Danio rerio: one gene and its partners. The protein of the gene in region 2 interacts with the protein of the main gene of each other region in a biochemical or structural test. Links are inferred from orthologs where the notes say so. Each region holds a gene or a part of one and is shown on either strand. Other genes may lie near its edges.

What was found.
Region 1: the proteins of col1a1b (region 2) and thbs1b form a complex in vitro, tested with the Homo sapiens proteins (2 studies listed by BioGRID). The link is inferred for Danio rerio from reciprocal best matches to the Homo sapiens genes COL1A1 and THBS1.
Region 3: the proteins of col1a1b (region 2) and sparc form a complex in vitro, tested with the Homo sapiens proteins (2 studies listed by BioGRID). The link is inferred for Danio rerio from reciprocal best matches to the Homo sapiens genes COL1A1 and SPARC.

The regions. Positions count from the first base shown.
Region 1 is NC_133195.1:31,775,552-31,779,072, forward strand, and holds part of thbs1b (thrombospondin-1), read right to left. Parts: intron 3,105-3,521; coding exon 2,870-3,104; intron 2,778-2,869; coding exon 2,550-2,777; intron 2,210-2,549; coding exon 1,938-2,209; intron 1,636-1,937; coding exon 1,538-1,635; intron 679-1,537; coding exon 539-678; intron 442-538; coding exon 434-441; 3' UTR 1-433. UniProt on the Homo sapiens protein: Adhesive glycoprotein that mediates cell-to-cell and cell-to-matrix interactions.
Region 2 is NC_133187.1:3,514,329-3,519,062, forward strand, and holds part of col1a1b (collagen, type I, alpha 1b), read right to left. Parts: coding exon 4,692-4,734; intron 3,984-4,691; coding exon 3,918-3,983; intron 3,685-3,917; coding exon 3,640-3,684; intron 3,545-3,639; coding exon 3,491-3,544; intron 3,383-3,490; coding exon 3,329-3,382; intron 3,249-3,328; coding exon 3,195-3,248; intron 3,071-3,194; coding exon 3,017-3,070; intron 1,291-3,016; coding exon 1,237-1,290; intron 1,148-1,236; coding exon 1,103-1,147; intron 1,008-1,102; coding exon 954-1,007; intron 229-953; coding exon 184-228; intron 1-183. UniProt on the Homo sapiens protein: Type I collagen is a member of group I collagen (fibrillar forming collagen).
Region 3 is NC_133189.1:30,213,686-30,218,419, forward strand, and holds part of sparc (SPARC), read right to left. Parts: intron 3,462-4,734; coding exon 3,328-3,461; intron 2,346-3,327; coding exon 2,197-2,345; intron 2,107-2,196; coding exon 1,958-2,106; intron 390-1,957; coding exon 361-389; 3' UTR 1-360.

The sequences.
Region 1 (3,521 bases), on a different chromosome or scaffold from region 2:
GAATATCACAATAGTAACCTTTCTTTAAAAGGCTTCTGCTCTTTGAAGTAGCCATCATTTTGGCTTATCTCATGAATAGAGCATAGAAGCGCATGAGAGAGAGAGAGAATAAAGGTTTTGAAGTGCATAGCTGTCTGCTGGGAGCTTTTCCCCACACAGAGCCCAATGAGGTTTTTCAGAGAGATCTCGGTCTTCCCAAATAAGCCAAGCGAGGGAGACTTTCTTCTGCTCTACCTGCTAATGGTGGAGGAGTCTAGATCCGGTTTCTATCCCAACCAGTGACATTACATTGAAGTTGACCAGCTGCTTTCTCACTCCACCGGTGTGCGAGCGACAGCAGAAAAAAAGTAGCATCGAATCTGTCCCTGGACTTTGCTTGGAATACATATTTATATCGAAAGGTGCATCTTTGATAAACTTCCAGCCTGTGCAATTACGCATCTGAAAAAGGAAAAGACAGGAAGAGTTATTGTTGAGTTTCGGGAATTGATGTAAATGAGTGCTTGTTTAGAAGTCTATGCGATGTGTTGATGCTCACCTCTGCATTCGTATTTGAGGTCTGAGAAATACACCATCTCTTGTGAGAAGACGAAGAGACCTAGTCTTCCGCCTGCGTATGTTTTGTCGTAGATTCTGCCAGAATCTGCCATGATCTTTTTGCCTTCATACATGACCACTCTGAAATATGCAGAGAAATATTTTGTCAGCACATTAAGTGAAGATAATTTGGAAACTCATTTCGAGAGGATCACGTGCTTATGATTAAACACAGCTGGTCATGCATTAGCATATTTATGATTCACCAATTAGATGATTCCTAAGTAGCTATAAATACCCTAAGTCCCATATCACAACCATCTTCGTTTTGAAGAATGCCCTCTTCCACCCCTACTTCTCCTCCTTTTTTGGATGGGTGGCATAGTGGCCCAGTGGTTAACATTGTTGCCTCACAACAAGAACATCACTGGTTCTAGTCGTTACCAAGCTAGCCGACGTTTCTGTGCGGAGTTTACATGTTCTCCCCGTGGTCACATAGGTTTCCCATGGGCCCCCCGGCTGACTAATTGACTAATCTAAATCGCCACTATAGACGTGCTCCTAGTAAGTAGCTAAATCTTAAGAGCAATCCCTATCTGTTCATTAGCTACTACGGCAGGGAAGTTTCAAGATCTACCTGAGCTCAAATTCCACTCTTGCCCTGCAACGGGAGGGAGCCCTGGGCTTGAGGATCTTATGCCAAACACGCTTTATAATCAATCATCAGCTAAGTGTGAACTTTTGAAAATAGCCTTTTAAGAATGTGTATGACACATTAATACTAATACAAATGTTTGCTATTTTTCATGTTTTAAGCATCATCATTTAATTTTAGACTTATTTATAGACTAATATTATTTGCCTGCATGATGATTTCAGATGGTATTTGTAATAAAAAATACACTAGAAAAATTTTAGTTTCGATATATAACAATATTTTTTTGCAGCTTTTTAAATATATTAGATTAGGTTTTGGATTTAATAATGTTTATAATATTACCTTATGTGTCCAGTTCTTGGTCTGTGTGTCAGGTGCCATCTGTAAGCAGTAAAGTCCTTCCATCCCACATTCTTTGGGTCATGCCACAATGTGCGCACCTATAACAAATCAAGTCAAATTTAGCATTCACATGAAGGCTCTCAAACCTGATATTATCCGTTTGACTTAAGAAATAAAGAAAATATTTGAAAGAAAGCTGGAAACCTGTAACTATTGACTTCCACAGAATTTTGTTACAGTTTTTCTGACTACTGGAAGTCAATAGTTACAGGTTTTCAAAATATCTATTTCATGTTTAACAGAAGACAGATACTCGTAAAGGTTTGGAATCACTTGAGGGTGAGTAAATAGTGAGTATATTTTCAGTTTTGGGTGAACTATCCATTGAAGCACACTTTACCTGTCCTGGTGTGTCTCCAGTGTGCCAAAGGGCGTTTCTCAGATGCTCCCCAGGTCCTGTGGTGGAATTAACCACTTTGATGGACAGCCCTGAGTAACCCTGTGCTTTGGTAGGTGTGCTGGACCAGTAGGTCTGTGTGATCTGCTTCCACATGACCACATAGAAGCGAGAGCTGGACTGGTATCCGAAAACAAAACCAGCATAGTCGTCATCCCTCTCAGTGTTGATGAAGAATGTTCCACTGAAGTCCACTGAATTGAACTCATCAAAACCTTTAAGAGTTTGAAGAAACAGGTAAGAATTTTGTGGTTGCTGACATATTTTAGTTGTATGATTCATTTTTTAATGCTTTTTGAATTCAGAATGGAATATAAATTAATGGACTGCATAAAGTTTTATCCAGTCATATTTAATATAATAATTATTTTTGTTTCATTTTTGTGCTAGTTAATAAATACATTATATAATGCATGTGTCTTTGCAAGCTAAGGTACCATGCAGGATTTTGTTAACCGTTTATGTATATAAAGTTAGCATTTCCAGGTGTTTTTCCATATATTTTTCTGTCGTAGCATTCATTAAATTTAATTCTACCCTTTTTTTTTAGCTTACCAACAGCAATGCCAGGGTCGCAGTTGACTGTCTGAACCAGCTCTTTTCCTTGATGACGAACCACCCAGTTGGGATCGATCTGAGAAGTGCCCTTGGGATCCAGAGGAACCATCTGGAACTTGCGGAAGTCGGTTTCACTGATATCGAAGTTCTCAGGACAGACATCATAGATATCCAGAACATTGTCCATGTCAAAGTCATCTTTACAGGCATCGCCACGTCCATCGCCTGCAAAAGGAGGAAGGTAAACGCTTAAGTATAAATCTGTACATTTATGAGTGCAATGTGAAGTGTTACAGATATTCCGGTGTAAAACGCACCATCAGAATCTAGCTGATCTGGATTGAAGACCAGTCTGCAGTTGTCTTTTTCGTCAGGAATGCCATCATTATCATCATCGTAGTCGCAGGCATCTCCTTTACCGTCCTTGTCATGATCAGCCTGGTTGGCATTGGGGATGTATGGACAGTTGTCCAGGTTGTTCTGGTGACCGTCTTCATCGATATCCTGGTTACTGTCACATTTGTCTCCAACGCGGTCAGAATCAGAGTCCAGCTGTTGGGGTTCAAGTAGAGAATAAATATTTAAAATTTTTGGTTCAGTATTCACATTTCTACTGCGTTTTAAATTATGGGTTCCTCTTCTGGATTTCAGGTACTTTTATTTAAAAAAAAAAGAAAAAAAAAGACAACAACCATATATACATTTACAAACATCATTTTCATAATGGATGAAAATAAATCACAAATTTAAATATATGTCTTGCCTAGTTTTCTCTATTATACAGTTGAGGTCAGAATTATTAGCCCTCCCATTTTCTTCCCCTATTTGAAGATTTTTTTCAACACATTTCTGAACCAACTAGTTTTAATAACTCATTTCTAATAACTAATTTATTTAATCTTTTCCAGGATGACAGTAAATAATATTTGACTAGATATTTTTAAAAACATTTCTATACAGCTTAAAGTC
Region 2 (4,734 bases):
CAAGTGGACTATACTTAACATTTTAAAGCATCACAAACACATACTTAAATCTGTATGATTTATAAAAAATGACTATAAAATCAAGGTAAATTGTACTGACTATCAATCAGACTGAAATACTTAAATTATATGTATAATCATACAGTAAATAACTGCTTGTATTCACAGAATATTGAGACTTACGGGAGGTCCGGCAGCGCCAGTGTTACCATCATTACCACGTGCACCCTGCAGAAAACAAAGCGGATTCATTTTTATAATCCAGTGATAATAGTGAATGATAACCTGAACACTGATTTAAAGGGACAGTTCACCCAAAATGTGAATGTTACTAACTACGACATGTACTCACTATTAAATTTACTCTGAAAAAAGCTGGAAGCCTGTAACCATTGACCTCCATAGAATTTGTATTTCCTACTATAGATCTCACTGGTTATCGATTTGTAACACAAAAGAAGATATTTTAAAGAATGTTAGAAACCTGTAACCATTCATAACATCCATAGAAGGAAATACAAATTCTATGGACATCAATGGTTACAGGTTTGCAGAATTTTTCAAAATATCTTCTTTTGTGTTTAACTAAAACAACAAGCGTATGACAGGTAAATGAAGACAGAATTTTCAGTTTTGGGTGAACTATTCTTTTGAGATTCGCACAAGCCAGCAATTCTTGAAATAAGAATGACTATACATGTGAAAGCAATTTATAAATATCCATGCATTTTGTTCAATAATCAAGTAACAGACTTTAATTTGTTTGCATTAATGCAGACTTCAAATTATCACACTTATAAATGTTTACTCAAGAACAATCAGTATGTATTGCTCATAAATGCATAAGCAAAATAAACATATGAGGTGTAAACATGATAAGACTGTACTGAATATTCAACATAAAGTTTAAATGAATCAACTCAAGATGTTTTTGTAAGATTGTAGTTACTTACAGAAGGACCGGGAGGACCAGGACGACCTCTCTCACCAGGCAAACCACGAGCACCCTGAATAAAGAAGGAAAAAAAAGGAGCGAATATGAGACTAGTTTTAGGTTTTAAGATATCTACATGATCTCTTAATGCTGTCCGAATCCACTCACCATGGCTCCAGGAGTTCCAGCCTCACCAGGAGAACCAGCTTCTCCCTAAACAGAGTGAAAATATGATTAATTGAGGATGCAATGTGGCATACATGTGAATAATAATATCTGCATGTGAAAAATAAAAATCTAACCTTAGGTCCAGCAATGCCAGCGTCTCCCTTAGATCCATCTAGACCAGGGAATCCCTGAATGAAGCAATAAAATTACGGTCATTATTTTAAGGTACAATTCTCACTATTATTAGACTTAAGCTTAATAGACTACTAATTTGCTGCTTATTAATAGTTATTATGGTAGTAGTTTTGATATTAGGTAGAATTAAGGATGTAGAATAGGATTATATTTAAGAAGTACTAATAAACAGGTTATATCTTAATGATAAGCAGTTAATAAAATAGTTAATGAAGTGAATTGTTAACTTAAACTAAAGTGTGTAAACAATGCAATTTGCAATAAAATGTCAGTTTTGAAACATTCACAGAAAGCTGTACTTCTTGTTGCATTAAATAAATAGCTAAAATTTAGAATGTACACATTTTAAGCAACATTGTAGACCAAATTAAATAAAATAAACACATCTGGTGAGTATATTAATGAATATCTAAAATTAATATGCAACCTAACATAAAATAATCCATTTAATACATTTTTTATTCATGCAATTTCATTATTTTATATATATTTAATTACTTATTGTAAATTAATGTATATAGCCTAAACACACATGAAGGGAAATTTCATTAAATAAATAACAAAAATTTTGGAATGTATGAAAGGAGGTAAAAAAACACATTTTAAGCATTATTGTACACACATTTGGTGAGCATATTAATAAATATCTAAAAATAAATATGCGACCTAATATAAAATAATACGTTTATAAAAGTTTTATAACTTTAGACTCATTTAATAACTTATCTTATGCAATTGCATTATTTTATACTTATTTATTTAATTACATAATGTAGAATAACTTCATGTAAATTAATTTATGTAGCCTAAACACATATGATGGGAAATTGTATTAAACAAATAGCTAAAATCTAAGCTAATCTAACTCTAAATTAGCTTACAAAACACACATTTTAAGAAATATTGTACACAAAATAAAAAACAACACATTTAATGAACATTATTTTAATGAATATCTAAAAAAAAACCAATGCAAACTAATATAAAATAATACATTTAGTTACTTATTTTATAACTTTAGACTCATATAATAACTTATCTTATGCAATTGCATTATTTTATACTTATTTATTTAATTACTTAATGTAGAATGACTTAATATAAATTATTTATGTATCCTGAGCACTGTTGTACACGAAATAAAAACAACACATTTAATGAGCATTATATTAATGAATATCTAAAAAATTATGAAACCTAATATAAAATAATACATTTTATGACTTATTTTATTACTTTAGACTCATTTAATGACTTATTTTATGCAATTTTATATTTATTTATTTAATTACTTAATGTAGAATTACTTAATATAAATTAATGTATATAGCCTAAAAACATATGATGAGAAATCGCATTAAACAAAGCTAAAATCTAAGCTAATCTAAATCTTAAATAGCTAAAAAAATATTAAGCAATATTGTACACAAAATAAAAAAAACAACACATTTAATGAGCATTATATTAAAGAATATCTAAAGAAATAATGCAACCTAATATAAAATAACACATTTAATTACTTATTTTTATACAATCTGATTATTTATACTTAATTTATGCAAAGATGCATGAGTATTGCACATAAAACAGAAAACACAAATAATTTAAATACATATGAGTATTACAAAAATGGCTTTACAATGACAATGTATAAATAAACATAATTGAATCTTTTAAGCAATAAAATAAAATAAAAATATTATTTGCTGTCATACTCACTCTGTGTCCCTTGATGCCGGGGAGTCCAGGGGTTCCTGGGAATCCACGAGCACCCTGTGAAATTAGCATGACAATGCAATCTATATTGTGTACAACTCCACATATATATTACATCACAATGAGCATGTCCTACACACTAATTCAAAATGTCTATGAATATTAATGAAAAATATCTCACCTGAGGCCCAGCTGCTCCACGCTCACCGGGACGGCCTGCTTTGCCAGCTTCACCCTAAGGAAGAGCAAAAACCAATATAAATAGGCATGAAGGACTTACTGAAGATGATTTAAAGGAGGAAAAGAAACACTCACATCTTCTCCGTTCTTTCCAGGAGGGCCGGGAGGACCACGAGAACCCATTGGACCCTGCAAACAGATTAATAATAATATTTACCAGCATATATGCTTTGTAAAATGTAAAGTTTTCCCACATAGAAACACTAAGAATGAATAAAGTAAATGCAAGGTACTTACAGGAGAACCAGGCTCACCAGGCTCGCCTGGGGGGCCAGTAAATCCCTGAGGGCCCTGAGAAAAACACGGACAAATACAGTTAGATTTCAGGTAAAAGATTTAGTTTATAATCTTAACCTATTTATTTTATAGTATTAAAACCAACTTACAGGTGAACCTGCAGGTCCTGGGGGGCCACGGGGACCCATGGGGCCCTACAAGAGAGAAAGCAACATGTTAAATGTAGACATAATAATAATGTACACCTAAAAGCCAGTATTTATTGTTAACAACATTAAACATTGTTAAATGGCCGATTCTAAAAGTGTTATTGATGTTTATGCACAATAACAGTGAGTTATGATATGTACAGAAGAGTGCAGAATAATCAGAAATTCTGATTATTCTGTCCACAGGAACAAGAGGAAAAATAGAGAAGCTGACTTACTGCTGGTCCGGGTTGAGGAGGACCGCTGGATTTCTCACTGCCATAAGCCATCTGGGATAGGAAAGACTGCGGGAGAGCAAGAGAATCAAAGTATGAGCTTCTGTGATTATCTTCAGCTCATTATTTATTGCTGAACTACTCAAGGATTGAGTTCATTTTAATGCCAGATAATAATGAACTCGTCATACACATGGATGTAAATTAAAGCATGCATCTGATAAACCACAAACACCTTTAAAAACTGCTTTTAAAGAGTGCACAGTCTGCTTTTATTCCTGTTCAACCTAATGTGAATCCTAGTGGTGGGAATGATGGGAGCTGTTCACATAGTTAGGTACTGAACTACACAGTAAGCTCATATTATTTTGGTTGTTGTAATGAATAAGATTATTAAAATACAAGACGTTCAACTTCAGTATTTCTACTAAAAATGTCACATTGCATTTTGTGCATTACTAGCAATTTCTGAAGGAAATCGATGTATAAAAAATCTTTTTAAACAATATTTTGTTTATTATTTTATTTTTACTAAAAGTTAATTATTACTTTAGTATTTTATTGCAATAATAATACACATTTTTACTGTATTTACCTTCATATATATCATATATTCTATGGCAAACATAAAAATCTACTGTGTAGCAGTGGAAGACTATGCACAGATTCTTTCTGTCTGGTTATCCTAAATATAATTGTAGGATGCAGATAACTCAAATCCAGATTCACAGATTAAATAAAAAATAATATATATAAATATCGGAATTAATTCCTTACTCCGCCGCCAAGGCCAGAGGTCCCAGGAGGACCAGGAGGGCCA
Region 3 (4,734 bases), on a different chromosome or scaffold from region 2:
CTTTATTATTTTTTTTTTTTTGTACATCTCCACCATCCAAACTTACAATTCAAGCCCTGAATCTGAGTTTTTAAAAGAAATTGTAGATCCAAAACAAAAAGTGTATCTTGCAATATACATGGTTCATAATATTTAACTCTCTTGTTTGGCTGACATCAGCTAACGTAAAAAATTGGCCAGTATTTAATCACTTGTTGTGATATAGCTACAGTGTGAACTGTGCACTTTTTTAAACATTTTGAATGTTTAGTGGTATATGCAGCTTGTTAGAAATCGCAATTAGCACCTTTACTTTGATTTTAACTTAAGGGTTAGCACCTCCCCCCAATAATAACTAGGAAGCATCAATGGAAGACGTCCTTAGATGACAAGGTCTTTGTCGACATCCTCTGAAAGCAGAAAAGAGACTAAGTTAGCAAGGAATTTTTGCTGTGTATACAGTTGTGTAAACTACTTAAAATATCAGAATTGTATTTAAGCAAAACATAATACTTGTTTTATACTGTAAACAACTGATGACATTTCATTTGTAATTTAGATTTTTTTTCAGTACAAAGCAATAAGGTTTTCAGAAATACAGATTAAGTCAGAATTATTAGCCCCCCTGTCAACCCCTGTCAAAATTTTGGAAAAACTTTTCTAAACATAATAGCATAATAACTTATTTCTAATGACTGATTTATTTTATCTTTGCAATGATGACAGTAAATAATATTTCACTAGATACTTATCAAGACACTTCTATACAGCTCAAAGTGACATTTAAAGGCTTAACTAGGTTAATTAGGTTACCTGGGCAGGTTCATAAGTTATTGTATGACAGTGGTTTGTTCTGTAGACTTTAGAAAAAAAATCTAGCTTAAAGGGGCTAATAATTTTGACCTAAAAATGTGTTTAAATTAAAAAAAAATATTTTATTCTAGTCGAAATAAAACAAATAAGACTTTTACTAAAAGAAAATATTATCAGGTAAACTGCAAAAAAATTCATTGCTTTGTTAAACATCATTTTGAAAAATATTTTAAAAAGGGAAAAAAATTCAAAGTGGGACTAATAATAATGACTTTAAGTGTATATTTACATTAATACAACACAATACCGATATTTTCGTCTTATTAGTAAATTTGGTAGCAAAAAAATCGACCTATCCATCCATCTATTCATCCATCATAAAAATCTTCATATTTACAGTTATGAATTGCATTATGGGACTTTGTTCTCTGCTCTGTCAACTTTGGATGTTGAAAATTCAACTCTGTAGTTGTATTGAAATGTTAGTAGTTTGAAACAATATATTGTATAAGAAATATTGTACTTAGAAAAATGAAAGTCTGAAAAATAAAAGGAAAATTTCTGGCAGAGTATTTTTATGTTTTTGTACCATAATTTACAACACCAGTCCAGGCAGTATATCACTTCAAAAAATTAAAAATGTAAACAAATTCTTTTAGTTTTTATTATTATTATTATTATAATTATTATTATTATTATTATTATTATTATTATTATTATTATTATTATTATTATTATTATTATTATTATTATTATTATTATTATTATTCAAAATATCAAAATATTCAACATTAAATGACGTTGGACGAAAGATCAAGGTTCCATAATCCAATTCGAAAACAATTTGATAAATACCACTAATACCTATCTATCTATCTAAAGAGAAAGATATGCATCTATATGGGTCACAGTTTTGTGTATTTATTAATCATATGTTTATTTCAACATTTACTGATCAATTATTAAATAATTCAAAGTTGTTTATGGTACTATTATTTAATTCACTGTGGTTTAACAATGGCTAAAAATATTTTTACACCTTAACCAAGATAATGTATTGTTCAGATTTTTTCTGATGCCACAGTAAAACATCAGCTAACATTTACCTAATGGACCCCTATTGTAAAGTGTTACCCATAGATAAATCATATGATCAGAAACTCACGCTCTTTGATCCCGAAGCAGTTTGCCCACTCCTCCAGAGCGATGTACTTGTCTTGGTCAGCATCGCACTGCTCAAAGAAGCTGGTGGTGCAGTGCTCCATTGGGATAAGAGGAGCACGCAGAGGGGCCAGCTCAGTGTGGGACAGGAACCTGATGAAATGTATAGAATATATGTAAATGAAACTTATAGAATAATAGGATGAAACTAGCTAAAATAGTTGTAAAAATGAGACAGCATACCCATCAATAGGGTGCTGGTCAAGCTGGCCAAACTGCCAGTGAACGGGGAAGATGTACATGTTGTAGTTCTTTTCAAAGTCCAGGGCCAAAAGGTCCAGAGAGTGATCACCAGCCTGAAGCCTCTTCTCATTCTCGTAAATCTTCTTCACCTGCAACAACAGGATAAGGTTTGCTGGAATTTTAGAGCCATGTGGGTTTAATTCCCATACAGAAATCTGACATGTGGTGATATATGGACATCCCAAAGGGCACCTTTATGTCAAAATGACATCAAATTGACATCAAGTATGATGTTAAAAAACATGTCAAAAATGCAAATTGATTTAATGCCATTTTGATCACCAAAATAATGACACAAAAATTATTATATAATAATATAAGGAAAGTTTTATTCATCTGAAAGCTACGATTCCAAGTTAAACTTTACACTCGATTCTATATTCATAGTATGCATGTAAACCATCTTGATGCAATCAAATTGACATCTAACATTGACGTCGAAAACATATAAAAACTGTCCTGTAATTCAGTGTTTCTCAACCACACTTCTGCAGAAGCACCAACACTGCAAACCCAATTCATGTTTTTGATGTCTCCTTTGTCTGTCCCACCTATTACAGGTCTTTTAGTCTCTGCTTATGAGTTGATGATCTGAATCATGTGTGTTTGGTTAGGGAGACACGGAAAATATGCAGAGCTGGTGGTCCTCCAGGAACGTGGTTGAGAAACACTGCTGTAATCGATTTTGGCTTTTTGTTGCCAATGCTAGACGTCAATTTGATGTCATGTTGACATTAAGGTAGTAAATTAAAATCAAATTAAAAATTAATTATCATAATTTATAATTGACTATTTGCATTTATTAGATTTTTCTAAAATAAAGTACATAAATTCAGATTCCTTAAAATAGCATAAATAGTTTAATTGTGAAAACTATTATATTTTATTTCTCTGTTATTGCTGTTACGTTGAGTAACTACTGTAGTTTTATTAATAGTTTAGTTTTCTATTTTTTCTATTTTCTAAATCAGATGTCTTTAAATTGTTATGCTGAGTTAAATGGAAAAATCAGCTAGTCAAGCTGCATCATAAAGGTTTTTCAGACTGTAAAGAACACGAAGTTGAACTTACCCTGAGTTTCTGCTTCTCGGTGAGCAGGTTGTTGTCCTCATCACGCTCATACAAAGTCACCAGCACGTTCTTCAGCCAGTCTCTCATGCGCAGGGGGAACTCATTCAGCTCATTCTCCAAGCAGGGAGCGATGTCTAAACAAAAGTACACACAATAAAGCAATCCATTTCAAACAAATAATAAACACAAACAGCATGCCAGTGCTCCTCCTGTGCTGACATATACCGTAGTATTATAGCCTAAAAGGGGGCAAATTACAGCCCTCTGGCTAATATTAGTGTAATAGCTGTTAGGGCTTAATTCGTTTACGCCAGAAACACATTTAGCGAGTTTCTGACTGAGACACCCTGCTTAGCGATGAGACAACGACACAGCAGGAGCTCCATCTGAGCCCTTCACTCCCGACTCATCCCATCAACTGTACAGCGGTGGTGGATCAGGCAGATTTAAGGGGATTCAGTGTGCTTTGTGCAAGCTCGGGCTCGTCCTGTACTCAGTGTTTGGAGAGGGCAACAGGGACGCCTCAAAGCTACAAGCCATCAATCACTCCAAAGCACTCAGCATTGATGGCCGGGTTTGTGAGTGGTCTGAGTTTTACGCTCAAAGTCTGTGCGAATCAGGGTCAGAAATTATTGGCTTGAGAAAAAAAAATGTACATAAAATGTACCAAAGAAATTGCCAAAAATTCACCATTAGACAGAGTTGTCTAATGTCACATCAGAGTAATGTTATATTAAATTTCTTATGTTGTTAGGCTATGAGCATTCTAACCAATCACACGTGTTTCTGCTGATGTTTTGATTGCAGTAGCCAATTATCATTAATAACAAAGTGTTTGATTATTTACCAACGGGTTTTGTCCGTGTGGTCAAATTATGAAGTGCATTTTTCTAAACACTTAACGTTTTTAAATGTATTCTATATTTTAAAGTTATTACTCACTATAGCAATATCAACAGCAGTTATTGATACTATACTTATAAGGAAAATATCTATCTTTATAACTTTATAAACTCCTATCACTGGTTTCCAGCAACTGCCATACTTTTATGTTTACTGTCATCACAAATTGAGCCAGGATATTATTTAATATTACTCAGATTGTGTTTGCCTGAAAGAACACATAAATAAATCTTAAATAGGATAGTTTGATAAATAGGGAAACATTTTATCAGTTTAATTGTGTATAATACCAAATTTAATGCTGTATTTACATATTTAACATAAAATATTGTAAAAATACATTTAATTATAATCAATTAAACACCTTTCATAGAAGAAAATGTATTTAAATTCTACATTGTAAAGCCCAAACAGTTAAGCTTACTTAAACCGTTTGAGGAAACTGATTGCAACAAACCCTTTAAGTTCAAAAACTAATCCTAATGAATACTCTTAACTTAATCC